Linked DNA regions of Caenorhabditis elegans. The protein of the gene in region 2 interacts with the protein of the main gene of each other region in a pairwise test. Each region holds a gene or a part of one and is shown on either strand. Other genes may lie near its edges.

Region 1 (15,799 bases), on a different chromosome or scaffold from region 2:
CTTCTTTTGGCTTGTAATCGGTTATGTGCAGTGACTAATCCGCTAAAATATCAACAATTGTACAGGTTTGTTCGAACAACTTCGCTTCGAGATTATAAAATTGAATAATTCTGGCAAGAGACTCAAAACTCAATCTCAGCCAGCTAGGGGTTGTAAATAAATGTGTAATAAATAAATAAATGCTCAATAATGATTTAAATTTTAGCCAGCGGTTCACAATTGGAATGCTCTTCACAGCGAATATGTATGCATTTGCGTCAATTATTGTTCTCTACACAAGTGGATGTAGATACTTTTGGAGCAGTGAACTACATATGTTTATGTATCATGTATCCAATTCATGTGTAAACTTTTCATTTTACGGAATATTCTGTAAATATCTTACAATAATTATTCTTATCTTGCTAATTGACTTATTCAGTATTTATAAAGCAAGATTATTTTTGCAAAAAACACAACAAGATCGGATTAGTCATCAAGTTAACACAAAGGAAGTTGGGCTGCTGGTTCAGGTGATTTGTATTTTCCAGACGTACCTTATTACTAATTTTATTTTCAGACATGTCTGCAAGGTCTTTTGTTTACCGTGGAACTAATATGTTATTTCATTATCTCACCGCATGTAGAAAATAAATGGGCTCAATTCTTTCTCACAACTTTTGCATTTTTGACCATTCATACTTGTGATGGGTAAGTTCGTTTTCTCTTGAAATAAATCTTAAAATATTTACAGAACAATAAGCATTTTTTGCAATGGAGACTTTAGAAAGTATATTTTCAAGAACTCGTTCACCAAATTATCTGGTCAATTGAGTAAAGTTGGACCACGCACTGAATCTCATATACCACAATAAAACAATAAATTCATCATATTTTATTAAATTTCCTTCACGGTTGTTGTTTTGAATATATCAATTCTAACCCAATAAATTTACTTTATTAATTTTATACAAGATCAGAAATCTATGTATATAGTGGTGACTCGGTGTGAAAATTATTATTGGTTTCCATAGTATACACATAAAAATCATGTTATATTTTCAGATTGCTTCAGCTTGTTTCTCTTCTAACAAAAACCTTTGAGCTCGCATGCGTTTTCAGAAATATATTTTCCAAAGATCAAAAGTTTCAGCAAAAATTATGCAAAAAAAATGTGAGATACGTTTTTTCCTTCAGTCCAAAAAGTTCACCGGTTTCTCACCTTTTTGAAATTTTTGGACACTACTCATGCGTTTAACTTTTTGACTTTTTGAAAAAGTTTTCCTCCAAGATCAAACTTACTTTGCCGTAATGAAAGTAAATTATTAATTTTTCATGATAAGGTAGCCCTCTTTCTTGCTGAATTGTACCGTGCCCGTAGGTAGGCAAATAGTCATTTTGTAATAAAAATACGTTATATATAGTTTTATGGTAGGCTTTTATGGTATGGTAGGCTAATTTGGCATTTTGGTATAGCTGACCGACCTACCATGTAAAACAAATGATGCCATTAAAATTTAAATTCAGAAACTAACTTTTGATACAATTTATCGAGATGTTATAGGTTATAATCCTTCTTGACTTTTATAACATACCAATCACTAAATCTCTGATGTTTTATTGTTCAATTCCAATACACGTATCTGTTGAAAATACTTAACGCTTTCCTAGAAGCAAAAATAATTATTGGTTAGAAGCCTAGTTAAATAATGTTTTCAAGTGTTGTCGACTTCAAATCACTAGGTATGGTGTTATAAAAGATCAGAAATTTAACCGACAATGTTCAGAAGTTGTCTTATTATTTTTCGTATACTGAATTTTTTATCAAATTGATATTTTATACTTTTTTTGTGTTTGGTGTGGCTGTTTAATAGCGAAGGTCAGCGTGGAACGTATTAAAAATATTTCTCTGTACTCGGAGAACACGAGTGTTTTTCACACCTAGCTCACTTCTGATATAAAAACTTCCTTATTTGTTGAAGAAAATAATGTAAAACGACTTCCCTGTACATTGAAAAAAATTCAATTTATAAATTGTATACTAGAAATCAGCAAAAATCAAGAATTTTCGAACATTCCAAGCTATGGGGATAAATTAAAAATGATTGCAAGAGTATACTCTATAGGATACAACTATTTAATAAGAAGGATTTTTGCAGCCCCTTTTGCAAAAGTTCATCACAAGAAAGATTATTTACCTAAGCCTGTTCGTTTCTTAAAATCAACTTTTAATTCTATTATAATTTCAAAGAATTGTTGAGATATTAAGAACTAGATAGATATTAAGAACTAGATATTAAGATAGAGATATAGGAAGATATTAAGGAGATATTAGAAACTATCGGATCATTAGAATGCTTAACGCTCTTGCGCGCAAATATTTTGTAGCGAAACAATCTTTCTCTGTCTCTCTTTTTGCCAGATTATGTTCTGCTCCCGCTAATTTTGCTCCAGAAAATATGCATTCTCAGACGGTTTCTTAATATCTCTTATTTTCCTAGACATTTTCTAGACAGAATGTTCTTTATGATCCAACAGTCCTTTTAGTTATTTCTCCTAGACATGCTAGATATCTAGTATCAATACACATGTCTCTACGTCAACTGATTCACTATATAAAGCTCGGTGAAAAATTTGTTTTCTACGGTAACCGTGTATTCAAAAAGTAATTATGCCCACTATTGTTAAATCGTTGTTTCTGATTTCTGTACCCCTATTTTTCAATAAACCGTCTAAGTTCCTTGTTATTGTCATGAGATTGGTGTTATATAAAAATCAAATATGATTACAGACATTCCATTCTACGGAAGATATTCAACTTGGATATACGGACAATGTCTTCGGATAGCCTCTTTGTTGGATCAATTTTATTTTTTGTAAGTGGTATTAATTAGCTAAGAACTTGAACAAAGGAATCTTGAAGTTCCAATAGTTGTTTTCCAGGTTTCCTTAACTGGAGTTTTCACGAACTGGACGGTACTTTTGTTTCTTCCAAAAGTCTCATCATTTAATAAATCATTTGGTTATATTACTTGGAACCAAGCGTTTGGAGATGCTCTTCAATCCACCACAGTTTTTACTTTGGTTGTACCAATGGTCTTTTTGTTAGTTTTAATTATTTTGAAAATTTTAATAATTTATTTTTTCCAGTGATCTTGAAGTTTTAAAAGCAAACTCCAATTACATCTCCTTGTCAATGCTATTGGGTTATGATATTTCAGTACTTTCCCATTTACTTCTTGCTCTGAATCGTCTTTGCGTTGTCGCAAGTCCACTAAAATTTGAGACCTACAAGTTAGTAGTAGATTTTACGAACTGAAAAAAAAACAATTTCAGTGAAAAATATACTCGCCCCATGATAATATCTGTCAATATCTACGCATTTGCATCAGTTATCATATTTTTGCTGAGCGGTTGTAAATACAGTTGGAGCACTGAAATGTGGATGTTCTTGTACCATGTGTCAAATCAATGCGTCAGTTTCTCATTTTACGCTATTTTCTGTAAATACATCAGCATAATCTTCATAATTGTGCTAATTGATGTATTTGTGATTTGTAAAGCAAGATTTATGTACAAGAAATCGAAAAATGATGCGAAGAGTAAACAGATGAATTCAAAAGAAATCTGTTTCCTCGTACAAGTGAGTCATACTACAGAAACTGTTGAATTTCAAAGATCTATGGTTTCAGACCTGTCTTCAAGGAGTTTTGTTCAGTATTGAGCTAATTTGTTATTTCATAATCTCACCGAGAGTTGAAGACACGTGGGTTCGCTTTTTCATGACAACCTTTGCATTCTCAACCATTCATGCATGCGATGGGTAAGATCACAAGCCAACGACGGAAATTATCTAATTTTGGATTTTTAGAGCCATAAGCATTGCATGCAATTCGGACTTTCGATCTTACTTGCGTAGATGTTCAATGAAGAAGATCAGTAATAGAACTGAATCCGCTCTTTATGCATCAAGAGTTGATACAAGTACACTTGGAGGATTCCGATCGAGAACTAGCACAATCAATGCTTCGGCAAGATAAAAAAAACACTTTTTCTGGAAATATTTGTGTCGGAATGTTCATTAAAATTCAATAAATGTAAATATAAGCAGTTAATGATAACAACTTCTATCTTGTTCTGGATATGTCAATTCTAGATTAAGTTCTCCAATATCCATCCACTGTGTGGCAGTCCCAAAGTGAATAAATTTTTTTGGAATCAAGAAGGTTATCTTCTTTTGGCACGGCTAAAATATAAAGTGTGACATTCTAACAACCGGAAAAGGAACCTACTTTAATTCCATCTTCACAATCATGATAAATGTATAAAACTGGATCAATTGGTGTCAGTTCACGTGTTGTTCCATCAACTCGAAATTCTCCGTCTTTATCAGTATACTTCTCATCGAGAAGATCATCTGCATCACCTTGATCTAAGAAAATCCATTTTGAAGAATATAGTTCGCATCATATTTATCACAAGTTTTTGAAGTTTCACATTCCACGTTTGCATGACTCAGAAACACCCGCCTCATTCGAAATTTTAAACATATTTAATCAAAACGTTGTGTTACAAGTTACAAACAAATATTGTTTCAAAAATTATCGATGACATTGAGCTCGATTTTTGAAGTATTAGTTCATGAAAAAGTTCATGAAAAAAACATTTAACATTTTCTAGAACGGGCACATCAAACGACTCTTTTTTGCTCACTCTCTTATTTGAATTTTCAGGACTAATTGCACCTAACCCAGGCCTAAATTTTTTGTCTCGATATTGAAAAACAGTTAGCAAACATTACTGACAATTCATGACTCTTTTGTTCTTAATGGGCCACGTAGACTTTGAATAAAAAACTAACTTGTATCAATGTCGTATAACTTTATTTTTGCATTCTTCCAAGGCTTATCTCCACATGCCAATTTCCCTTTGACTGCTACACCTTGAAGACGGAATGCAAGAGAATATCCAAGTGAAATTACAATTATCGATGCAAAACAATAGTTCATTTGTACTAAACAATAAATAATGTAATCATACTGATAATCATTTATGTTTATAACTTGTTTCCAAATTGAAACCGTAAGATACAAATGTTTTATGTTCAGCGGAACACTTTAAAATTAAATAAGAACAATATACACATGTTTATTAAAATATTTATTGAATTCAAACTACCATGGATCATTTCTATCGTCTGGTTCTTCATCTCTTCCTTTAAAAACATTTTTTGTAGTTATTTTTTCAATTTCGACGTTTCTCAAATTCCGGATCTTCTTCCAATGTTCTCGACGAATTCTCAACTTATCCACATGTTTTTGTCGTTCTTCATTGTGCTTCACTCTAGTTTCTAAATTGAATTCTCCCAAATCAAAAGTGTTTCCAGATCCGACATAGTACTTTGGAATCTGAAATTTCAGTTTCCGTTGTCCAGGTTTTACACCATCATCACAATCATGATAAACTGCAATAATTGGTACGTAGTCTTTTTCAGTTGTTTCTGCACTCAGCTGAAAGTTTCCTTGTTTGTCTGCATGTGTTTCGTCGACTATTGATTCTGAAAACTCATTTATTCGAAAACAGATAAAAAATGCGATCTATTTACAGATATAACAATTTTATATTAAAATTTAGTTTTACAGCTACATTTTTCACTTTGCAATTTTCTGAAACGTCTATCAAATGAGTTCAAATTTATTGAGATTCGTGAAAAATCGTTCGACTGTGAACTGTTTTTTTTGAACATTTTTTTTTAATTAAAAAAAAAGTTTAAGATGTTTCTTTAAAAAAATAAATGAAAAATTGGCCGTTACGATAATGTTTAAATAGTACAAACAGTTAAAGGAAACTATTTCTGTAATAGTATAAGTGTCAATTAATAAACCAAATCCGATAAATAGACTCACTTTCAGAGTTCTTCAAAAGCTTGACTGTAACTGCTGATGCTGGATATTCTGCACAAAGTAGACGTCCTTTGACAGTCAGAGAATGCGAATTTATGACTGTGAATAAAAGAGACAAAAAACAGAAATAACTAATCAATGGCATTTAATTGACTGACTGATTCCTTTTTTGGTTCTCCTTATCATTTGTTTGTTTTTATCAGTGATGCTCAAAATGTTGTCTTATTTAAAATTTTTATTGTTTTCAGGTTTTGATCAAATTGGGTTACATAAGAAAATGTTATGCACTTTTGCACCACATTCGAAAAGAAAAAATAAGGGACAAATATATATTCAAAGGGGAACATATTTAAAGAGACTATTGAAGTTGGGGAATTTCAACTGTGTCACAATAATTAAAGACACCGGCCACATCGAATGGAATACATGAGAAGGGGAATATTATAAACTCTCGGGAAAACATAAAAAGTTGTTTTGTTGAAAAACTAGAAGAACACGAAAATGTATAAAAACTAAAAGATGACACCACCAGAGAGAAAAGATTCTAGAAATGGGAATGTGTTAGTAAATAAAAGATTATGCACATATAAATTAATGATTTTTAAATGGTAGATACCCGTCGGAAATAGATTTCTGTAGAAGAAGTTGAGGAGAAGACGAGATGGAAATAAAGAAGATACACATAGGAGCAGCAATCGCATTTTAGAGGCCTGAAAGCAAAAGAACGGTGAGTTTAAACGAACATAATTGTGTAGAGGAAAAATCAGGAAAGACGCAAACAAAAATGTGGTTTTTATGGACAGTCTAGAAGGAAATTCTTGGTTTCCAGAAGAAAAACTGGATAATTCTAACTTCAAAATTAAGTTTCAGTATTATTCCCTTGAAAGTTTGAAAAACATATAATAGCGAAACTGGACAACCTATTGCATTTTACTACGATACGTTTCAGCTTTTAACTTTTCAACAGTATTGTTGTAAAACGCGATTGAAATATAATATTTAAGTCACTTTCAAAACACGTGTTACCAACTCGTCGCCCACTTTTTGCTCAAAAATACAATTTTGGTAACCGATTTGTGACAATGTTTTGGCAAGACTTTGATGGGAGAGTTGCACTCAATCTTGTATCAAAAGCAAGAGAGCGGAATCTTTTTGGCAAAAAGCGGAGTGTGGTCATAACAAAGAATTGACCTGGCATTACCCATGGTTTCTTCTTTACCATGTTTTGTCTTAAAATTTCGATTAAGTATATTTTCAGGTTACTTCTTAACAGAAAGTAATCCAGTTTTTTTTCTGAAAATGCTTTCCCTATGTGTATTTCCAAGTGATAGAAATAGCGAGAGAAAGAGAGAGAGAGAGAAAGGCACAAACATTTCAGTACAAACCGCATCCTTGCAAGTTGGCCTGGATAATCATATCAATCACTGAGTCCAAAATCATTTGTACTTGATCTGTATCTGTTGCACACGTCTGATGCATGTAAATCGTCTTTTCTGGATTTGCATTCAATCCATCAAACTTTTCCTCAATATATCGACACGATTCGTCGTAGGTTTGTGCACCTGAAAATATATGGGCAGAGTGTGAAAAAGTTCAATTAAATCTTACCTTTATAGTCTGGGAATGCGGATTTAATTGAAGTTCTTTTAATCTTCTCGGCAAACAAATCCTTCTTATTTAAGAAAAGAATCATTGAAGTATTGATGAACCATCGTGAATTACAAATTGATTCAAACAGCCTCATTGATTCAATCATTCGATTCTGCAAAAAAAAAAACAATTCTCAAATAAACCATAAAGTTTTCCTTGTTCTAACCGTCGTCTCATCTTCAAACAGAACTTGATCATATTCTGAAATTGCAGCGATGAAAATAATTGCATTAACATCTTCAAAACAATGAATCCATTTCTTTCTCTCTGATCGTTGACCTCCAACGTCAAATACCCTGAAACTCATGTCTTGCAAACTCATGAATCATTAACTATTCACACCTAAAATCTACACTTTTCATTTGAAATTTAACTTCAACAATTCCAGTTGTCTTGATTCTAGACAGAAGAATATCCTGTTCAGTTGGATTATAATCGGGTAACTTGATACGATCAAGACTTGATAGAAAACTAAAAAAATATAAATGTGAATCTTGAAGTTCTAGAAGTACAGTAAAATCTTACTGTGGTGCACTTTCAGGCATTTGGAACTCATTTCCTTTTGCAATAACTTGCTGAACGGCTTTATCATTCCATAATGCTTGAATGGCATTTGCTAATTCTTCTGGGAAAACTTTCGCTTCTTGGAGCATTTTATGAGACTCCATCACAAATTTTGCATCATTTTCTCGAATTGGCTTATCAAAGGTCATTCGAAGTGCTTCCATTCCTTTCAGAATTGCAGTCATTGCTTGAAGGGTATTATTGAAAACGACACTTTTCTGTTGTTCAGCCTCTTCTGCAGTAAATCCGTGATCGTGAAGAATCCTCATTTGTTTCAGAACCGTACTTTTTCCACATTCTCCAGCACCTGAAATTAGTAAGAGTTTAATTTTGCCAACTTGTCACAAACCCCAGCTAATTTATTTTTCAACTTCTAAATTCTCAGAATCAAATGAAAGAAACAGCTGAAAACCTAAGGCTACGCACACTTGATATCTGAAAATTTGACATCAACGGGTTCTACGTAGTTTGTAGTTCTTTGATAAGCTTCAAAAGAGAATTATAACTTGATAAATAATTTGATTATTAATATTTAGAACACATGAAAATTTTTGCGGGCAGTTAAAAAAGTAGTGTTTGCAAGAAGCCGGGTGAGAGAAGAAACTTTAAAACTTTAATAATTATTTTATATGATTTCGAGAAAATTGAGTTGATGTTCTTTATTCTTATTACTGATCATTTCTCATTTTCTCTGACTTGTCCTTTTTGTCTGTAAATATAGTATTTAAAAATCACAGCTCTTTCATTCTCTGAATTATTAATCACAGTTATTACAAATTTGAAGTAATTTTTTGAAAAAGTGTTCGAGAACAGAAGGGAACATTTCTTCTGAAACGATAATATTTTTTTATCCCAACGTTCTCATAAATTAAATTTTTTGGACTTTTCAACAAAAGCGGGTAACAATTTCTCACACGACACTTTTGTTTTGCTTGTAATTATTTGATTCCGGCGTATTATCAAAAAGTCAAACAAGTTCTCAATGAGTCATATGATTACCGTAAAACAATTTCTGACTGCGCGAAGCTGAATACAAAAAATAAGTTTTAAAATTTTACCCAAAAGCAGAAGCTTCACAACTTTTTGCTGTGACATATGGTTCTGCATCATTTCCTTATCGATCGCTTTTGATTTCAACGTCAGTTCTTTGTCCTCTGCAGATTGGCATAATCCCATAATTGTTCTTTGGCTAATAATTTTCTGTAATTTGAATATAGATTTGAATGAAGCACAACTCTAAAAAGCCCAAAAGTTCAAACAAAAAGTGAAAAATGAAAAGCAGGCCTGATTATGCGACAACCGAAGTTTAACGAAACGAAAAATAAGAAAAGAAGTAGACACGGGGTAAATGAGAAGAAAATGAGAAAATGCTCGTTAGCGGGCGGGCGGCGGCGACGGCGGTCAGAGCCAAAGTCAGATATTCAGAATTTTGTGTTGTTGATATCTCGTGTGTCTCTTTCTTTTTCTGTTTCACCTCGACAATAATGAAAGACGACAGCAAGCATTTTTTCACAAGAAATGGTGCTGCCAATTCAACAAAACGACACCAAGCTGTGACGCATTGAAAATGAACAAATATCATAATAATGAGTGATAAAAGATGTTCGATTCAGCTGAAAATGTTCAATAATACATTAATCTTTCGAATAGAATCAATTTGTACATCATCATGAATTTCACATCTAAATGAACGAAAGATAGACTATTGTTCGATGGAATAGTTCCAGTCGTTTCTTTTTGATGTTTCAGATCTTCCCGGAAACTTAGATTATTTTATTGATATTCGTGGTCGAAAGTCTTTTTCAAAAATCAATCAAAAATCAATAGGAAGCCCCCCAGCTCTAGTTCCACTGGAAAATTATTTCACGCATATTTCAAATGTCGACGAATGCTTAGACATAAAAAAGAAGCATACAAAAATAGACTCAAAATGAATGCATAATGTTTCCAGGAGTATTTGAGGGTCCACAATCAATACGAGTATTAAAATTGATTTTTGTAGTGAAAATTACAACGGTTGATACAACCCACCAAAATCTGTGCGATTGGGAAATTTCAAATTTGTCTAATTAGTTAGATTCTAAAAATTGTAATTGAACATTGAACCAAGTTTCTCAATATGAACATATAATATCAGAAATCACCTCGTCTACGATCATTGAGGTCAGAGTGGTCAGTACGAAAAGTGCAAACATCTATTTGCAAAATAAAATTTCAGGAGGCGTCAAGTGACGGAAAGTTCTAGTTTAGTAGTCAAGGAAGGATAGAGCTGTAGTTGGCGAGAGTGTTAAGATTCTTAATATCCCACGGCATTTACTTTTAGAAACGCTAACTTTTAGAAATGCAAAAATGAGGTTTGTGATCGATATTTATTGATAAAATTCAAAATTTGAAAAATACTTAAATATTACTTTAAAAAAGATGAACATGACTTATTTTAATGATGAATTTTCTAGTCTCCACTGGGTAATTAGATATTGAAACTTTTCAAAATAACAAAAAAAGTTTTGTTTTTCAAAAAAATGTTTTTAGACAACTAGAATAAATACTTGTAAGGAAGTTCTAAAAACTGTTTTGTTTCTTAAAAAAAACAACGAAAAAGTTAGTATTTACGTGAGTTTTCGCAATGTGTCCCAAATCAAATGTCTTCGGGGGAAATCACATGTATTTCCCCAAATTTCTAAGTTTGCAAGTAATTTTGATGGGGTTTTACAAAAAAAAAATCATCTGCCAGGGATTATACAACTCGACGGAAAAGTTTGTTAGAAAGTTTACAAATATCCTTGACAACTATGTTTTTCACAAATTTCAAAACTAACACACATTGATTATGAATTTGTATTTGTCAGCATTTTCATTAATTTTATCTATTTGAGTTCAAATGAATAAATCTAAAAACCCATTTACTTGCCACCAAATTTAAATTTTCTTTTTCTCAACCGCCATAAGAATATCGTAAAAATCAAATCACAAAAAATGAAATAACAACGAAATTGGTTAAAAATGGCTCCCTTCAGCTACACATAATTCTGAAAATCATGGGCGCATGGTGTCGTTGTCATCGGAAAATAACAGGTGCAAATCAGTGAAGTGAGAGCTCACCGGTGCGTGTGTGTGAGTGTATGAAAGAGAATAAAAATATTGGTGAGAAAAGAGTTAGAGCAATTTCTGTTTACGTCACACAGTCACAATACCTATGTGGAATACAATGAGGGATTAAAAAAGGCAAGGACTATGAAACAAGGATACAAAGAATACAGCAAGAAATGTATTCTATCAGTTTTTTCTTGAATGAAGCGTCATAGGAACATCTGGAAGATAGCTAGAAATAGAATTCGGTATGAGATTGAAATTAATCTTACAAAGCAATTCCAGACTAACCAGAAACTTTCAAATGTGAAACAGGATTAACCTGTACTGGATTAAAATGGTGCAAGACGAGTTGGTTGTAACCTCTTTTAAGCAAGTAGAAGAGTATTCCTGGATTCATTTGATATTTGAGAGAGTTACAATTATTTTTTGCAAAGTGATTCCAAATTCAAGGAATATTTATCATAAATACAAAAAATTTCGATTGAAAAACACAGAAAATGGTAACAATAAGATAAGATCAGATGTTATTGATTGTTTTCAAATGAATGTACTCTTTAAAAATTTTAATTTTTTTTAAAAATCAAGCTAGACATACAAGCTTTCTTGAAAGTTCATAAAATAAACTTTAAAAAATGAGAGAAAAATTAAAAAATTGTTTCCTCAATAGTAAATCGTGGCTAATTATAAGTTGTAGGCATATCTCCACGGACAACCAGCAAGTATGAATTATTTTATTTTTATTATCACATATACTAGGGGAGCCTGATTTTTTGTTTGATTGAAATCAACTTTTCTTTTCTAATTTGTTCCGCATTGCATTGTTATTATTCAATTGAATTAATGAGGTAAAAAGAAAATGTTATAAATAAAGTATTGATATAGACTTGTAAATACTAACTTATTTTATTTAAGACATGCTCAAAAAAGAAATCAAATTATACCTTAAAAATAAGAAATCCCGATAAACGATGTAACAAAAATAAATTCAAACAATTAATAGAAAAAGGCAAAGGAAACGTTTTCGAGATGGATAAAAAGAAGTCAGAAAGGAAATTAAAGGGTTCCTGACATAATAATGTGTGGGATTGAAATCCTGCTAGAATGCCAATTGATATTACTTTCTTCGTAGATCTTATGCAATTTTCAATAAGAATCTAATGAAAAGTTTCATCAGAATTACGAAGTGAAGAAAAATAATCAAAGAATGAATTTCAAACAATTAATATTGGAAATTTAGATTAACGTTGAAAAATTGAATAGTTGGAGACAACTACATATTCAATAGATCTTTGAAATTAAAATTTCGTAAGTTCACGCGCCATGCAGAAACTTCTTGACTGCTGAATTTTTGATAAAGGTTATAGGAAACTGAAATAATTAATTTTCCACCTAAAAAGTTGAGTGATTTCAGATTTACTTCAACTTCTATAAAATCAATTTTTCATTATTTTCCCTTTTAATCAAAAAAAATCAAAGAGTTCAATCAACAAGATTACTTGAGAACATTTGATCAAACAATGGATATGCATACTTTAGAGCAAAAGATTAAGAATCAATGAAATTCAAGAAGAGTGTTAATATGTATACAGGAAGCATAAACTTTTGAATATGGCGTCAAAATATTGGATCAGCTGTTTTTGATATCTAAACTGAATCAGCCTTATTAAATGTACTTTTCATACAGATATGAACTAGAAGATTGCAGACTATCATTGATGAAAATATAAGTCTGAAACTAATCATTTTCGAAAAAAAAGTTATTTGAATTTGGTACTGCTCCTCATGTAAACACGGGCTTCCAGCATCTCTCGTATTCAAAAAAGGAAAATTGGCTGTTAAAAACGTGCCAGTTTCTTTTATCTTGGAACTTTGAGGATGAATGCTTTAGAAACTTGAAAATTAAAAAGTTCGGAAAATTTAAATGTTAATTAAAATAATCAACTTCCTATTCTAATTAAAAATATGGAAGAACCAAAAATCTATTGAACCATTTAATAACAGACATAACAAGTATTTCAAAACGTTGACTCATATGAATATTTCTGGTTTGAATGATCGCATTACATTGTACTTTTACACTACATGCATTTTTCAAACTAAAATATACCCTCAGTTGATCATTCTATAAGCTTTTGAATATACTTGAACCAATTCGTTTCTTGGAGTATCAATAGAACAAGTGCAACTAACTACATCCTAGACATTAATTTCTTTCTGAAAGGCGATAGAGGGTATAAAAGTAAAATATTCATTTTATGCTACAAGTTGGACTTTAAAAATCATTAAAATCAAATATTTTTTCAAAAGAAATTTCGATCAATTTTTCCAAAAAAAAAATTTGAAATCATTCCAACTCCAGACAAAAAATTTTGGGTTTTTAATTAGATTCGCACGCTTTTCTAGAAAACAGCCTAGTCTAGAAACTTATTACAAATAAGAAAAGACAGAGAAATAAAATTAAATGGGGAAAAATCAATGTCAGTGACGTCACAAGAGCTGAAAAAAGATCATTTTGTTCAGTTTCAAGACATATTGCTTCAATGAGCAGTAACGATGAGATTACGTGGTATTCGAAAATTCTAGAATGTTTCAGAAGATGATTAAATATGGGAATGAATGACGGATCAAAGATTAAAACACTTTAAATAAGAAAAATTCTTGAATTGACACTATTCCAGCTGGGGAGAGACGACGCTGGAATGAGTGGGGTTTTTTGATCAAATTTATTAATATTGATAGTTCAAAGTTGTCATTCTGATTTAATAACTTTCATTTTCCCAAGATAATTATGTGGTTCACTAACAGAATGAATGTAATCACATGAAACAAGTAATCAAAACAGACACATATTGAGCAATCGAGGTGATAACGTGAGCAACCGAAAACAGAAACGATATGTCTATAGCCATATACGCAAATTGGGACGAGTTTGAGAGCATGATTTGAGAGCTTTTTTTTTTGAATTCGTAACTGTCTTAAGTATTTTTCTTAAGTCTTAAGTACATAAGTATTTTTAATATAATTTTTCTTACAATTAGAAACAATGCTCAAATTGATTTGCCGTTCTGTAGCTTACAAATGTGATGTAGCCAGGTGCTTTAACGTTGCCGAAACGAATCTAAATCAAACATTACTTGTAGCTAGTCTATAAAGTTTTACTGTATTAAAAATCATAAAATTTTGTTCAGAATTCACATTTTGATTAACTTTACGTTTTTTATTCAGAGCTGGGAAAAAATCCTGTGTGAAAAATTAGAAATTGAATGAAATCATACGAGAACTTTCTTTGCCAAGACCTTTGATATTTGATTTATACTTGACAGAATTTATTATTCCTATTCCAAAATTCCCAAGAACATTTATGATTTCTTGGTAGACTTTCTGTAATTTATAGCTCAAAAAATTACCATAAGTTTTCAGAATTAATTTCGCGAGGAAAAGTTAAAAATTTTATTATAACCATGAGAAAAACAACACATAACAAAATAATATTGCTAGATTATATCTCACAAAAATTCAATTTACTACGTGCATTTTTCTATTCTTCAAGTGGGAAAAACGTTTTCAGGTACAAAAGAAACTACGAGATCAAGCGTCGTTCTAAAAAATAATTTCTTAATCTGGAAAATGATGGGACAACCTTTTCAGAGTTGTGGTAGATATTAAAATTAATCTGGTGTTCTCAGAACTCATACATCTCAAATAAAAATGCAAAGTTGGTAGTGAAAAATGTGCATAACTGATTAAACCACAAAATCAAGAGACTTGGTAGCATCTGTCTAGAAAATGAGTCAAGAAGAAATAAAGAAGGTAAAAAAAGATAAAGATTGGGATTTGTATTCATTCACAGATCAAAAAAAAACCAAAGAGATAAGTAAGGAATAGGTAAATGAAAAATCAACATATTTCTCAATAAAGGAATTTACCTTATGGTGTTTTTGGAATAACTTCAATGAAGCATAACGCTTGGTATTTATTCCGATCAACAACTTTTTAAAAACTTTGTTTTTGATGATAATATATCCTCCCTTCTTCAAACTTCTATAATTCTTCTGATCCCTAAATTCTATTCCCCGTAAGATCAAACCAAGAGGGTACACTCTGATATCCCGTGTGCCTTGTTAATTTGTGTCGATCAGGATCCTTGAGGCGATGACATTTTCGTGACGCCGGCACCGTGTCTGATTTTTGATCACGATAAGTGTCCTCTGACAAGTTGTGAGACATCAAGTTCACAGTGCAGAAACCCAGACAATTAAAAAAGTTACAGTGACGAATGTACATATAAAATTATCATGATTAGTTCTACTATCTCTATTTTGGAGTTGAAATCTACTCGAAAAATATATTCTTGTATAAATTTGGGCACGAAGGAGATAATAATATTCTCTAGACTTAATAGCTAAGTTTTCTAAAAAGCAATTCTGCCGTATTTACCGTTAGGGTATTTCTAGAAAGGTTTGTTTCGAAAACATCAGCAGTTGGAAATAATAAAAATGATAAAGTTTTTGCATGACTATAAGACATGAAAATTATTTTCTTTTGAAATACCCCTAATCATATTAATTTTCAAAAAGAAAAGGTTTATATGAATAATAATTATGATTCAG
Region 2 (15,799 bases):
CAACATTTTTGTGAATGTCGGAGTTTCTCAAGGAGCACATCTCAAAATTCACAATGTCAATGAGAACGATTTGGGCACTTACAAATGCGAAGCTAACAATATCAAAGCAAAATCCTACCATACAATTCATCTTAGAGAAGCCAGTGAGTTTTTTTTTGAATGTTAATGTTCACTACATTCCCTGCCGAACACTTAAATTTGTCTGTATTTTTGAAACTAGAGTTCTGGCCTTCGGATTTTGTTTGAGCGGAGTAAGAGTGCTGAACTTGATGATGTAAATGTTTGATAATTCACGGCACCCGAAACAACTATCTTACAGGATTACAATTAAGTTAATGAAAAGACCATATCACTGAGAATCTGGATAAAGCAGGGCATAAATTCGTTACCTTCAGATTACTAACTGCCGAATTCTGAGTGAACAAAAGTCCGGTTTTCCAAATTCAGACCATTGGAAGTCAATTTTTTCCCTATTGCCAGCCCTACTTTTATCAGTTTTTTCCATTACTAATGCTCCATTTTCAGATGCCCCAGCTGAGCCAAAAGTAACTCTTATCGAGGACAAGAGGCACTCCATCATCTGGAAAGTAGAATCTATCGATCGAGATCCAGATCTTCCAATGACCGCCGTTGAAATTCGCCACCTCCGAGCCGGAACCGCCGAAGCTTCTGGAGTGTCCGATGAGGATATTTCTGATGCCTACTGGAAGAGTCACTCAATTTTCATGCAGAGAAATATCAGTGAGTGATTTTCAACCTAGATTACAAAAATTTATTCAAATTATGTTACAGAGGATGATGGAATTTACGAAATTAATGGGCTAAGACATGGACATGAATATGTCTGGAGATTCCGACAGATTAATGAAGCTGGATTTGGTAGGAATAATAATTCTGAAACAAGTTGTAAACGACTCTATTACAGGAGATAGTGTGGTATTGCGTGCAAAAACGTTAGATGATCACGATTTGGAAATGATGGATTCGGCATCTGACAGCAAATTTCCTCTTGCCCTTGCCACGTTATTTTTTGTCTGTCTTTTTATCTAATCTTTGATGTTTTTTTGTGATTAGAGTTCATTATCTCATTTCCCCCTCTATTGTCAAAATTGTAAATCGGTGAATCTTCTATTTTTCTATCCATAACTTCATCTAATTAATCAATATCATCCCCTATCTCGTCCTCGAAATTTTCCTATTCTTTCATTTTGCACTTTTAAACAATAATTATAGAATTCATTATCACATTAACGCGTGAAATGCATTTTAAACGCAATTCCTTCTCTTTTTATAGATTTTCAGTTCGTTCTCTCTAGTTCAGCTGAAAAATGTACGGTTCAAAATGTTTTTGGATTTTTTAAAAACATAATAAGTAATAATGTTATGGCTTTTCGTTTATTGAATAAACTTTAAATACCATAAACTATCGAACAATTTATCAAAGAGTGTTAGCAAGACTTTTATTTTTGAATAATGAAAAGTGTCTACAAATTTATATGAAATTTAAAAACAAGCGAATAAAATTTGAATCAAAACTAAATGTAGAGTGAAACGATAAATAACTGAACGTCAGCTATCTCCATTCAACTATTTGCGTGTCTCCGGAGCATTGTTACCATAAATGACGCACTGTTTTGTTGCAGACTTCATCATTCTTGAGTCACTTGCACAATTAAATGCTTGCTGAAATCCTGGCATTTGTGCAACAGCATTAATTCGAACATTGTGATGCGAATGCGAGCCATCTGTTGTATTGGATTTTGATCCCTCAATTATCAGACAGTCAAAAATGTTAATTTTATGTACTAACCCTGCAAAATCTGTAGGCAAATGAATAGAACAACAATTGTTCGTTTGTGATTTTTAAACCATCAGCTTGCTCCTTAAATTGTTTATAGCAAAATAAGAAAAGTGATACAACGCACTCTCAATTGGTCGCTCAAATCTCTCTCCAGTATTGCATATGCAAGTTGCAGACCAAAAACATCAGCACCATTATCATCAAATGTATAGTCTGAAGTATTGCAAGCATCAGGAACCTTAAACAAAAAACAATATGTCAGGTGAAAAATTGAATTATTTAATACTCACTTCCCCTTCGTAATATTCATTGCAAGTCTTTAAATATTGATTCTGAACGCAATCCTCAGCTGGCTTTGAAAAATACGGAAGACCGTCAGGATTGATACTGTGTTCAATGAAAGTATGGCCGATTTCATGACCTACTCGTGTTCCTGTGTATCCCAGCTGAAAAATAGTCCATATTTCCTCTATTAGTCTTTCATGGAAGTCTATATCAAGCTGTAGATGTGCCCGACATTTAAACACGGCAATACTATTAAAGGCAGACTAATTTTTTGATTAGCTTGTTAGTGTGGAAAACTAGCAGAAACTGCAAGAGTAATAGAGAATAATGTACGCTACTTGTATTTTTATTGCTTGAATGGTTCAAAAAATTTGACAGACAAAAGATACAAAACATAAAAGTATTAGGCTTACTTTTGATGCTCTCCAGTTTCCATATGTAGTATGATAATAATTTGGAAAACCAAAGTAAATTGTTCCTTCTGCATTGTAGCCGTTATCATCTATGAAATAGCTACCACGTGTGCGTACGAATATCTTCGCTGAATAAAATAAGCAAAATAGAGTATTGTTTTGAATTCCTTCAAATTCGGAAACACAATTCAGAAAATCAGTTTCTATTGGAGATAGCAAATTGTAAATAAAGTTGGTATATTTGGTCAGTGACACTGGCATTTTAATTGCATTTGTAATATTCTTCATTTCCTCGGTTAGGTTATTGTTAATAACCCACGGAGTTTTCTAAAAATGTTAAATTGGTATAAAATCACACATTCAGTGTTTACCTCAAGCCAAATATTCCCTAATTCTACCATGTCCTCCATCATTTGGTGAATTTCGTTAATTCCGTCAGTAACATTTGCTTCAACGTGGTAATATAATGGTTGCAACATTCCGTCGTAAAAAGTGACATAATTGATAAATCTATATTGATAGTCATACTGAAATCTTATTTTTTTGTTTTTTTTTGTATGTAATATTAGAAACAAATTGCTCTGTGCTTCAAAATAAAGTTCCACAGAGATTTGTAAAACAATCTGACAAGTTTCATAAAAAATAGCAACACTCACAAAACTTTCCGACGACGTATTAAAGTACTGTGTGAGTAATACTGTTATGTCCTCAGTGGTCATACTACACCGTAAACTTTTCAAATTGTACAAACTGAATGTTTCTTCTTTGTACAAGTTAGTGATTATTTTCTCAAACTTGGAAGTGAACAACTGAGTTGGAAGATAGGAGGAATTGCATCTAAAGTGTAATTACTGATTAGTTGTTGGAAAACTGAATTTATTCGTGAATTAGCTAGTTTCCCTTCAACATTTAGCTTGTTCTCACGTTAGGGTTCGTTTCTACAAGATCCTCACACTTGGTACATGTTTTTTATTTCATACCAGACTTACATAGATAAATAATAATTTGCAAAAAAAGTGGCAGCATATGTGGGATCTTCGAAAGTTGATATTATAGACTTTTCCCTCGTTTCGTTGGCCTGAACTCAAAAACTCAATTCAACTTGAAAGTACATACCTTCTTCGCCAGGCCAGGAAAAATATTATTACCTTTCTGCTTCCACGAATGATTTAATGCATCTTTTAAAGGTTGCATCGATACTTTTATAATGTCTTCAATGCTGCCAACTGGACAAGCATGACGGTAAAAATCATCACAGGGATCTGATTTCCAGTCCACTATTCTGAAAACATATAAATATTGCGGGTTTCCACTGTTGATTGTGTACTTCTCTAGCGCATTTTCAATAAAATCGAACGGATGTTCATACGCATTTTGGGTCGGTAGAAAACAAAAAAGTATTATCAGCCACATTTCGGAAAAAGACAGTAACTGGCAACATTTGCGAATAAATAGGACTCTGGTAACAACAACTTCTATAGAAAAAAATTAGAAAATGAAGATTCAACAAAGACATCAAAGGAAAGTTTTCACGTTTTTCATGTTTTTTTTTTCAATTCCTCATACCTTTTGTCAAATTCAAGAAACCGCTATCCTAATGTTTGTGTTCAAATGTTTAGATTACTGTATTGTACGTACAATGTTCAATTGCTCCATGTTCCAATCAAAAATTTAATGGTGAATGTTTTAAAAATATTTTGTTGTTTCTTTCTTAATTTTTTAATTTTGGTTTAGAAGCCAAGTACAAAAAAGGTATCATCAGCCAAATTTTCTAGTGCTTTCTAGTTTCTACTTTCTAGTACTAACAGCTCCTAAAAGTTAATATCATTTTTATAATAACAACTTCCATTTAAAGCGTTGGAGAATTTGTACACCACAAAAGCATCAAAATTAAGTTTTCAATTTTTATTACCACTTTCAAATAATTTTCTATATCTCTTCATTCCTTTTTTTTAATATAAAAACGACCATCATCAAACATGTTACTTTTAAATGTTGTAGTCAACTTGATGAAGTAAAAAAAAACTGAGAGTCTGATTACTTTTCAGAAATTGAGCCAAGCATAGATCATAAGCAGGTAACATACCGAAAGCAGACTAATTTGTTCTCTTTTTATAGATTTTCAGCTTTTTTCAGCTTTTTCATTATCTACAAGTCAGTTGCTTCTAACTTCTCTTTTAGTTCTAAAATGCCCAAATATAGTAAAAGTTTTTTTTAGAGGGATCACCACCAGGCAGTGTACCTGAATCCCAGATCCGCAGTGCATAGCACTTGAAGAACGGATCGTCCTTTAATCCTTTTTAATCCTGAAACTGTATAACATGACTTCATTCTCATGACAAGTCCAATGAAATTAAAATTTCTCAATTGTGCGATTCTCAGTATTTCAAAAAACATTCATCACGTCGGAACTTGAGACAAATTGGCTCTTGTTGTCGAGCGGGATTCATCAACACTGTTTTTCTTTCCACACAAGAAATCTGAAATTTTGCAATTTGTCAATTTGTAATATATATGTTTTCTTCTTACTGAATATTGTTCTTCGGAAATCACGAATGATCAAAATCAGAATGAGTGGATCGAGTCCCGGGTACAGAAATGAGCAAAACACAATGAAATTGGCGTTTGCATTCAAATTCACGTCAAAAAACGGTGCGATGAACATGACTCCAGTTGGGGCGTACATGAAGATAGTTGGGATGAGTGTCTGAATTCATCTTATACCATGTTTCTAGTTTCAGATCGGGATACCTGAAGAACTAAAGCTTTGAAAAGTTGTTTCTGTAGCGCTCGAGTTCTATCAGATACATCCTTGTGTTCATTCATAGTTTTCCACGTGGCATATCCGCAGTAGAACATCACAACAAACGTCATCGACTAAAACCTTGTTGAATAACTATGTTAGGAACATCTCCGCTTACCATGACAAAGTAATGAACAAAGCATCCAAGCAAGTTTTTGAGGTAGATATGCCTTACTCCGTTTTCGTATTGGTACTGAAAGTATCTAGTTTGATGGTTTCCGTGTTATCAACTTACATAGACGTATGCAATGTACGATACATTCTCCTTTTTGATCCAGTTATAGTGGTTATTTAGTACATTGCTGAAAAAAAAAATTCCTAGCTACAATTCATAGATCTCATACGTGACAGCCGCTTCCGTGTACTCGGTATCTGGATACAAAAAATATGAGACACTAGCCCACATTGTCACGGGTACACTGCAACCAAGTGGCCAAAGTAGAAGAGTTGGCAAGTTGAACAAACGAAGTAGATTCGGTCTGTGAAGGGTGTTATAGTATTTTAATCTAAAAGTATGTATACTAATAATAGAGAGCTAATAGTCCACCCCTACAAGTTTTGCATCCTACATTAGTGCTGCACCTTTACAGCAAGGTTCCACAAGTCATTTTTTCAACCGATCATTTGCAGTTTATTTATAATGCTGTTCCTATTGGATACTGTACTAATAGAGCAATACTAACAAAAGAAATACGAAACTTAGCCCGTTTTACAATTGTACTTACTTGCAAGTTGCAAAATATCGATAAACAAAGTGAACTCCTGAGACAACAAAACTGGTGGCAAAACAAGCACAGTAAAACGCAGAGTTGATTTTTCCAAGTTTGGTGGAGTAGTTGAATCTTTTCCTTGAGATCAAAAAGAAAGTGGTGTTCTCAATATGCATTATCTGAAATTTAATACATTATTAACTTCAAGTTCAACAGTTTAGCCTACAGGTCGTAATATGAACTCGATGATGGCGTAAAAAATCGAGAATACTGAGAAAAACGCCATGAGATATTTATAAGTGCCCAAGTTTTTTCCACGTGTTTTCAGAAGTCCGAGAAGAACAATGTTGACACAGAAGGTGAGGGTGACGCCGACAATGTCCGCTGTGTCAACTAGGGTAATCCACAATTCTCCCGACATGGAGCTGTAAGGTATCTTAATGAAATTATGAGAATTTCATGCCACCGCCAACAAAAAATTAATTAAACTGAATACATGGTTATATGTGCTTTGTTCCTAACCTATTTTATAGTAACTTGAAGCCAGGGGCGTGTCGTTTGAGCCATTATTTTCCTGGAATTTGTCTACATACGCAACTTATAGTCAGATATATTGTTTTCAAAATCTGAAATCTGATTTCACGAGGTATTCAGTTAAAAATAATACGTTTGTATCCACAAATTCAGAATTGGGAAAATATATTGAATTTATTATTCCAATCACAAGATGCTACAATTAAAACCTGAATCACACACATCAGCTGGTTGTGTTGTAGTAAATGTCATGAATCACAACACAATGTATCCTAAATGAATGATCTCTCTTCGATTATGTGAAATTGGATGTATTTACTGCCTACTCACAAGGGAAGCATTTCAACATAATCCCGGACTTCTGAATGAAACCTATGCCATTTTGAAGAAGACCCTTTAAAGAAGGAGTATCGTCAATGGGAAAATTGTTTTAAAATGTAGTATTCGTGCTCAAACTTAAGAATATTACAAAACAAAAACGGGAGAATCCGCTTAGATTCAGCATTTTAAGTCGAAAAAATCTTTAAAAATTAACTACAGAAATCCTAGGCCACGACGATCTTTCGAATTTTTATTTGTTTTGGTATTGTCCTTTGAAAAAATACTCAATACAATTTCTTCTTCCCAGTTTTCTTGAACTTTTCCAGAAAGAAAAGCGAATTAAAGTTCGAAAAATTACATTTAAATCAATATTTTGTTTACGAATATGGCCTAAAAGTTGCGTGGTGGCCTAGGATTCATTTGCGCGCGAAATTCAAATTCAGCCACTTTCAGCCACTTTCGTCGATTTCAACGGCTAAATGCTGAATGTTAACGGATTTTTTCCGTTTTTCTTTTGCGATAATTGAAAGTTTGAGTACAAATACTACATTTTAAAACAATTTTCCCATTGACGATACTCCTTCTTTAAGTAGGCCCCTCCAAAAAATGTAGCGGCAGAGGAGCACTTTGAACTGGAAAAAAGTCGCTCTGAAAATTTTTCTCTGCGTCCTCTCATTTTCCAATGCTATTTCGCACGTCCCTATATATTTAAGTAGATATCAAAGTGTCACGTTTTCTGGTTTTTGTCATTTATTTCATTTACAAAAAAAGTGTCATCGAATGACCGAGTGGTTAGCGAGTTTGATTAATATTTCTTAAGTCTGGGGTTCGACTCCGGGTGCCGATTTTTTCCAAAATTTGTTTTTGCAACTCCGAAAAATCTCAAAAATTTTTTCATTGTGTAAAAACACCCAATTTTGATATTAAATAACTTTGACAACTTTTCTGAATTTAAAAAAAAAATTATATTCACTGAAAAATTTTGTCATGGACTTATTCAAAAAATTTCAGATTTTTTCGAAAAGTTTAAAAAATTCCAAAAAAATTCCGAGTGCTCTCCGGCCCCTGAGCATCCTAGAAATTATCAAAAATCTACAAAAATTCACATTTGGAGCCATTCTACGGGCCTTGAAAGTTGTGAAAAAATGCACTGAAAAGTTTTCAGAGCGATATTTTGCCAGGTCAAAGTGCTCCTCTGCCGCTAATTGTTTTGTAGGGACCTACTTAAAGAGTCTTCTTCGAAATGACATAGGTTTCATTCAGAAGTCCGGGATTAAGTTGAAATACTTCCCTTGTCAGATGTAATTCTGTACTTGATACTTGGAAAGTATAGATCTAGCGGTTTTCTGTAATGAAACATCATTTATTCATTGGTATAGGTATTTACAAAAATTACAGTTACCCAACCTTTCAAAAAACTGCTTAATATCCTTTAATTGAAATTTTCAAGGGACTACTGAAGTGTCGAAGAATATGAACAAAAGGTTCGCATTATAAACTCTTGACACTGGTGGCCTTGCGGTTAGCGCGTTCGATTAGCGTGCCGGCACCCACTGGTTCAATTCCCTGTGTATGACGACAACATGTTAGGGACATCTGCACAAACCGTGAAGATTTAACGAAAGTAGTACTGACACAGTGTCTTTCCTTTTTTCATAAACGTTATTGAAAATAAAACTATAGAAAACACATTAATAGACAGTAGAATATGTATTGGTTAAGAAAAGTTATTCTAGTTTCGCTTCGCTCTCCGAGAATTAGTTTTCCCCGATCAAACTCCGCTCTAAAATGTTAAACTCGCGTTATATGGTATTACGGGTTTATTGTTTGGGATTTAGTGTGGTATAGGACGTGATAAATGTGATAAATAATGGGGATTTGGGCGCGTGGCGCCCAAATTAGAATTTGATAAACGGGCCTCGAAGATTTCAAAACGGGTAATTAATATATCCGAGTAGTATCGTAGACGGTCCGATCGTTCCTCGTATGGTGTGTTCCTCGTATTGTACGGCCTGAGTCCGCTCGGCGATGGCACATGGTGACTGATCGATGGTGTCTGACGTGGGGGAAAACTGAAAACTATGAACCGAATTACTGTGTCTATTAAATAATTTAACGGTTCTTAATATTTTATGTAAACAACTTCCCTGCTACCGTCAGCACTGCAACGAATAGGCTTCGTCGTTTACGGACCGAGCGGTTTCGAGCAATGTTCCTAAAACTTCGTCTTTTCTTCTCTTCCATGGGTCCGGAGAAACGATGTCATCTCGGCGTCCCGACTTGCTCGAGGGTGCTCTTCACTCCAACGAATGGGCACTTCTCTGTCAAGAACTCTGGGGCTTCGGCCTGTGATCTGCCTCGTTGACTCTGTTGACTGTCGGCTGAAGCAATATAATACATAATCTGAAATGACACATTACATTAATTTGAAAAATAGATGGCCATTTCACAATTGGTCTGCAGGGACCTCTAAATCATCTCGATTTTCTTAGAATAAACTGTAATCGACTTACTTGAGCCCGTGTTCAGACTGGTATTGATTTATGAGTCAATTATGAAAAATTAATGCATATTATAAAATTTTCTCGTAAATTACTGGGGTTTTGATATTTCTACCACAAACCTCTACCGGGCAATTCGAACTCTTGTGAGGCAAAAGAAAAGTCGATCAAACTTCGAATTATAGACGAAGCTCAATCTAGTGAGATCTTACGGTTGGAGAATATTCCGTCTAACGTCCAACGGCACGTACTGGGATCCTCATCTCAAAACAAACGTGGCTGCAAATAAAGATCATTAAGGCGAAAATGTAAACTGGTTCCGTGAACCAAATCCGTAATTTTTTCCTTTCCATTTAAACATGAAAAAGCTTCCTGGTACCACCAAAAACAGGCACAAGGGTCGACCTGCGTATGTAGTAGACCGACACCGACTGCCCGCTCTGGTCATACATGTCGGAAACTATGAACTCACCTGCTGAACAGCGACTTACCGTTTAAAAGCGACATATTCAGAATATGACAGACGGCCTCATGGGGGAAAACATAGCGTACGTGCTTCGCACTTTGGAATAGTAGAAATGTGGGGCGGGAGGGTGGGAAACCAACACGTAGAATGATGACAATCCGCCGGTGCGCCGAGGAAAGATTTCGTCGCGTCGGGACCCATCGCTCACTAAAGTCGATGCGCCTTTAAGCTGGCGCTACGATATTCGCTCCGCTTTCTCGGGGAAAACATAAAATTCTAGTTTCGCTTCGCTCTCCGAGAATTAGTTTTCCCGATCAAACTCCGCTCTAAAATGTTAAACTCGCGTTATATGGTATTACGGGTTTATTGTTTGGGATTTAGTGTGGTATAGGGTAGAACAAGCAAAGCCGGGGGCTAAAGATGTAAAAGACTTAGTGTCTCGTCCATCCGATTGGTGAAAAACCGATATGTCCACCACATAAATTTCTAACCAGATAACAGCCCTTCAATACCCATCTCAGTAAAACACTGATCGTTACCCAGTAGAAACCTGTGCAGTAGAAATAATTCCCATTAAAGGCGGGCCACAATCTGTCTGAAACTGTCGTAAAGTATCCATACTAGAGCCAATCGTCTCGGGCTACTTCGACTCACACCTGAATAAGTCCTGACAAGGAGAATAGCTAATTGGAAAACAAATTACTCAACAACCTGCGAGTATCCTCCCCAGTCTTGAGAAAACTCTTACGAAACCTGAGTTACTCTTACATAGCCCTGCATATCTCTTACGTAATGGTAGGTGACGGAATATGATTCGACATTAAAATACCTGGGAATCGCGTGAGCAACGAAAGCGATGAAATATAGAGCTAATTTTACGTATACCGGACCAATCGATCTCCGTATATAAAAGCCGAGCCTTGATGTAGCAGACGACGAATAGCCGTCTTTGTGCGTAAACTCGATATAACGTTAGGTCGTCCGTCTATCTACAAAAGGATAAACACTGAAAACAGAATGAATAGCGCCGGAATTCCACTCCGTTCCTGTCTAACCATCTACATAAACTGCAGCGATTGCTTCGTAAACTTGCGCAACTCATACGTAATCTGCGTCGTCGATAGCGTGAGAAGAAAAAAGGTTGAACCGGATGTCATGAAAATCGAAAAAGTGGGCGATAAAGTCTACACGGAATACACAGCTACGCAATTGCAAAACGCGCGGCATAACTAAAGAAAAATCCTCTCCTTATACGCTTCATCTTGAAATACCTGACGACGATTAACCCGGAGCTCGGTAAGATAGAAATATCGGATCTTCTGGCTATTTGTGCAAATACAAGGTTTTCCGAGGATCCAATTGGAAATCGGACTCCCAGTATGGTCTAGTGCCACTCTAACGTAGACCTGATCCACTCTTGCGTAGACCTGCGTGAATCCTTCGTAGACTTGCGCTACTCCTTCGAGGACCTGGACGTCTTCTTTGTAGGCTTGCTCTACTCTTCCGTAGACTTGAGCCAATCCTACTTAAAACGGTAGTAGAAGATGAAGCAGAAAAGAAGAACGGGATACCTTGAAAATCCGACTAAAAACGGAAATCATTGAGACTCACGGAGTCGACTCGTACTCATAAACACTCAGACCTGGCTCGACCGGTCAAAAGAAATGCGATGGAAACGCAAGACAATATATCTCACCCGACGAAAGATGTCGCATTAAACGGGCGACCCGAATTTTATGTATGTTTTTCATTGTGGTTACCACGTTGCCGGAGTTCACATCGCAGAAAGAGCAATTCTTTATCGCGAAAGTACGATTTCAGGCCCCGGCAGGCCTTCTTATCAGTTTAATGCGACATCTTTCGTCGGGTGAGATATATTGTCTTGCGTTTCCATCGCATTTCTTTTGACCGGTCGAGCCAGGTCTGAGTGTTTATGAGTACGAGTCGACTCCGTGAGTCTCAATGATTTCCGTTTTTAGTCGGATTTTCAAGGTATCCCGTTCTTCTTTTCTGCTTCATCTTCTACTACCGTTTTAAGTAGGATTGGCTCAAGTCTACGGAAGAGTAGAGCAAGCCTACAAAGAAGACGTCCAGGTCCTCGAAGGAGTAGCGCAAGTCTACGAAGGATTCACGCAGGTCTACGCAAGAGTGGATCAGGTCTACGTTAGAGTGGCACTAGACCATACTGGGAGTCCGATTTCCAATTGGATCCTCGGAAAACCTTGTATTTGCACAAATAGCCAGAAGATCCGATATTTCTATCTTACCGAGCTCCGGGTTAATCGTCGTCAGGTATTTCAAGATGAAGCGTATAAGGAGAGGATTTTTCTTTAGTTATGCCGCGCGTTTTGCAATTGCGTAGCTGTGTATTCCGTGTAGACTTTATCGCCCACTTTTTCGATTTTCATGACATCCGGTTCAACCTTTTTTCTTCTCACGCTATCGACGACGCAGATTACGTATGAGTTGCGCAAGTTTACGAAGCAATCGCTGCAGTTTATGTAGATGGTTAGACAGGAACGGAGTGGAATTCCGGCGCTATTCATTCTGTTTTCAGTGTTTATCCTTTTTTGATAGACGGACGACCTAACGTTATATCGAGTTTACGCACAAAGACGGCTATTCGTCGTCTGCTACATCAAGGCTCGGCTTTTATATACGGCGATCGATTGGTCCGGTATACGTAAAATTAGCTCTATATTTCATCGCTTTCGTTGCTCACGCGATTCCCAGGTATTTTAATGTCGAATCATATTCCGTCACCTACCATTACGTAAGAGATATGCAGGGCTATGTAAGAGTAACTCAGGTTTCGTAAGAGTTTCTCAAGACTGGGGAGGATACTCGCAGGTTGTTGAGTAATTTGTTTTCCAATTAGCTATTCTCCTTGTCAGGACTTATTCAGGTGTGAGTCGAAGTAGCCCGAGACGATTGGCTCTAGTATGGATACTTTACGACAGTTTCAGACAGATTGTGGCCCGCCTTTAATGGGAATTATTTCTACTGCACAGGTTTCTACTGGGTAACGATCAGTGTTTTACTGAGATGGGTATTGAAGGGCTGTTATCTGGTTAGAAATTTATGTGGTGGACATATCGGTTTTTCACCAATCGGATGGACGAGACACTAAGTCTTTTACATCTTTAGCCCCCGGCTTTGCTTGTTCTACCCTATACCACACTAAATCCCAAACAATAAACCCGTAATACCATATAACGCGAGTTTAACATTTTAGAGCGGAGTTTGATCGGGGAAAACTAATTCTCGGAGAGCGAAGCGAAACTAGAATTTTATGTTTTCCCCGAGAAAGCGGAGCGAATATCGTAGCGCCAGCTTAAAGGCGCATCGACTTTAGTGAGCGATGGGTCCCGACGCGACGAAATCTTTCCTCGGCGCACCGGCGGATTGTCATCATTCTACGTGTTGGTTTCCCACCCTCCCGCCCCACATTTCTACTATTCCAAAGTGCGAAGCACGTACGCTATGTTTTCCCCCATGAGGCCGTCTGTCATATTCTGAATATGTCGCTTTTAAACGGTAAGTCGCTGTTCAGCAGGTGAGTTCATAGTTTCCGACATGTATGACCAGAGCGGGCAGTCGGTGTCGGTCTACTACATACGCAGGTCGACCCTTGTGCCTGTTTTTGGTGGTACCAGGAAGCTTTTTCATGTTTAAATGGAAAGGAAAAAATTACGGATTTGGTTCACGGAACCAGTTTACATTTTCGCCTTAATAATCTTTATTTGCAGCCACGTTTGTTTTGAGATGAGGATCCCAGTACGTGCCGTTGGACGTTAGACGGAATATTCTCCAACCGTAAGATCTCACTAGATTGAGCTTCGTCTATAATTCGAAGTTTGATCGACTTTTCTTTTGCCTCACAAGAGTTCGAATTGCCCGGTAGAGGTTTGTGGTAGAAATATCAAAACCCCAGTAATTTACGAGAAAATTTTATAATATGCATTAATTTTTCATAATTGACTCATAAATCAATACCAGTCTGAACACGGGCACAAGTAAGTCGATTACAGTTTATTCTAAGAAAATCGAGATGATTTAGAGGTCCCTGCAGACCAATTGTGAAATGGCCATCTATTTTTCAAATTAATGTAATGTGTCATTTCAGATAACATAATACATTTCAAATGAATATTATAATGTCCCATCAAACCTCTTTAAATTCAGCGCATGTATTATTGTACTGAGTTTGTATACAGTTGATTGCTTCCGCCGAAGAATATGGAAGAAGATAAGATTTAGATGGATTTTCGATAAGAGAATGGCTTAATTCGTGTCCAACAACGTAACCGGCCAGTCCGAGCTATTAGAAACAAAATTAATTCAATGATAAATTTAAAAACACGCTCACATTAGCAGCCATTTCTGAATTCGCGGCACGTGCGATGAAAGGCATACCAAAATAAATATATGGATGTCTATTTGTTGCATCGTAGCCGAAATGAAGAACAGTTGTTGTTCTACCATTAAACATAAAATGGTAACTATATATTGAACAAAACAAGTCATGTTTTCCTGAAAAATCCGCAGAGCATTTCAAAAAGTCTTGCTCGGTTTTCATAAGCGCATCTATATTCTCTCTCAGTTGAATTCCATATTCATCAATCACGAATAAGTCCCTTGCAACTGCTTCAAGCGCTCTGTTAATTTTCTGATCATTAACCCAAGGTGTTTCCTGCAAAATCAATTCAAACGGATTTTTGGCAATATATTTATACACCTGAATCCATTGCAAAAGCACATCAACCATATTCATCAAGAAACTGTTAATATTATCAACTCCGACTTTGAAGTTGCCATCCAAAAGGATATTTACGGCTCTGGTTTTGTTTTTCCATCCCGCAATGTTTTCTCTCAATTTCAAAACATATTCCTGATAGTGAGATGAATCAGTTTTCTTGGCGACGCGTGACTTAAAATCATTGGCTGCTCTTGTGCAGTTAGAATCTCCTCCAAGACGTAGCAAGCAGTTTTCAGCCCGACATTTTGTGGACATTTCATGAGATAACATTTGCTGTGTTCGGAGAAGAAATGTGGTCATTGCAGGATCATTGTTTTGACACCTAAAAATTGCGGTTTTTGAATTAAGTTAGTAACAAACTCACATGTCCAGAAAAACTCGTTCGAAATAAGCGGATATTTCATTCTCAATCTCTCCAGGTTTAATATTGTTCAAAGCTTCCTCTATTTTCAAATTTTCCCAGGCACTCTCTTCTTGGCTAGTCTCCAATTCTTTAAATATGGGAGCATATTTCATGAGAACTAAAAAATCATAGTCGCCGACGGGACATGCGTGTCTGTAAAAATCGTCACACGGATCCGACGACTGATCGATTAAGCTGAAGAAATAGATTTTTGAAAAGGTATGTAGAAAAACCTACTTTATTGCATCTCGAAAAAAATCGTATGCGCATGTCGAATTGATTATCAGATAGAAAAATAAAACACTTTTCAGAACCATGGTTCCACGACATCACCTGAACGATGTACTAGTCTTAAATAGTTTATTCCAAACAAATAACCATTCGAACTAAAAACCTTTTGAACAGTTACTTTTAGAATTTTCACAAAGAGGTTCAGTACCTTGATTTTTCCTTTCATTCTTAACAAAAAAAAACACACACACAAAACAACAAAAAATGTTTTATCCTTTCAGAATCTTCTGAAATGTGCATTCATGTGGCAAATGTCTTATGTTGGTTGCAAGCCAGTGTCTCTAGAAACCTTGGTAAATTTGAATCTTATAACTGTTTTAATTTTTAATTTTCCCTTACCTATATATCATATTATCAAATTTTAAATTAAAGGAGGTAGAAATAACAACTTATTTATAAACAATGTTGAAAGACAATAAATTAAGGCACCATCTTGGTTAGTTGAGCCGTGGCGATAAAATTGAAAAGTGATCGAGGTTTGGTGAAAACAAATGTACAGAAATGATTTTGAT

The links.
Region 1: the proteins of odr-10 (region 2) and gpa-3 interact in a two-hybrid assay, tested with the Caenorhabditis elegans proteins (one study listed by BioGRID).

The regions. Positions count from the first base shown.
Region 1 is NC_003283.11:9,350,479-9,366,277, forward strand, and holds gpa-3 (Guanine nucleotide-binding protein alpha-3 subunit), read right to left. Parts: upstream 9,297-15,799; 5' UTR 9,273-9,296; coding exon 9,155-9,272; intron 8,404-9,154; coding exon 8,058-8,403; intron 8,004-8,057; coding exon 7,875-8,003; intron 7,829-7,874; coding exon 7,699-7,828; intron 7,645-7,698; coding exon 7,491-7,644; intron 7,445-7,490; coding exon 7,268-7,444; exon of another isoform or gene 7,254-7,267; intron 6,593-7,253; coding exon 6,585-6,592; 3' UTR 6,101-6,584; downstream 1-6,100. Other genes in the region: srx-47 (G-protein coupled receptors family 1 profile domain-containing protein), read left to right, coding at 1-65, 206-512, 560-690, 734-854; srx-46 (7TM GPCR serpentine receptor class x (Srx) domain-containing protein), read left to right, coding at 2,814-2,855, 2,923-3,083, 3,130-3,273, 3,316-3,622, 3,672-3,802, 3,851-4,019; ttr-40 (Transthyretin-like family protein), read right to left, coding at 4,091-4,225, 4,272-4,411, 4,841-4,988; ttr-49 (Transthyretin-like family protein), read right to left, coding at 5,154-5,536, 5,886-6,027. UniProt on the Caenorhabditis elegans protein: Guanine nucleotide-binding proteins (G proteins) are involved as modulators or transducers in various transmembrane signaling systems. Promotes transcription of 3',5'-cyclic phosphodiesterases pde-1 and pde-5, leading to reduced cGMP levels in sensory neurons.
Region 2 is NC_003284.9:6,859,503-6,875,301, forward strand, and holds odr-10 (Serpentine receptor class r-10), read right to left. Parts: upstream 6,438-15,799; 5' UTR 6,434-6,437; coding exon 6,239-6,433; intron 6,192-6,238; coding exon 6,028-6,191; intron 5,782-6,027; coding exon 5,647-5,781; intron 5,605-5,646; coding exon 5,538-5,604; intron 5,496-5,537; coding exon 5,421-5,495; intron 5,377-5,420; coding exon 5,251-5,376; intron 5,207-5,250; coding exon 5,029-5,206; intron 4,980-5,028; coding exon 4,900-4,979; 3' UTR 4,813-4,899; downstream 1-4,812. Other genes in the region: Neuronal immunoglobulin domain-containing protein rig-3, read left to right, coding at 1-143, 526-741, 793-879, 926-1,050; nep-4 (Peptidase M13 C-terminal domain-containing protein), read right to left, coding at 1,588-1,767, 1,811-1,882, 1,926-2,039, 2,092-2,247, 2,500-2,826, 2,871-3,026, 3,489-3,577, 3,648-3,781 and 1 more; C53B7.6 (uncharacterized protein), read right to left, coding at 9,130-9,267; F41C6.4 (Peptidase_M13 domain-containing protein), read right to left, coding at 14,000-14,155, 14,204-14,915, 14,958-15,191, 15,234-15,313. UniProt on the Caenorhabditis elegans protein: An odorant receptor which affects chemotaxis to the volatile odorant diacetyl. Specifies AWA neuronal cell fate via the odr-7 pathway.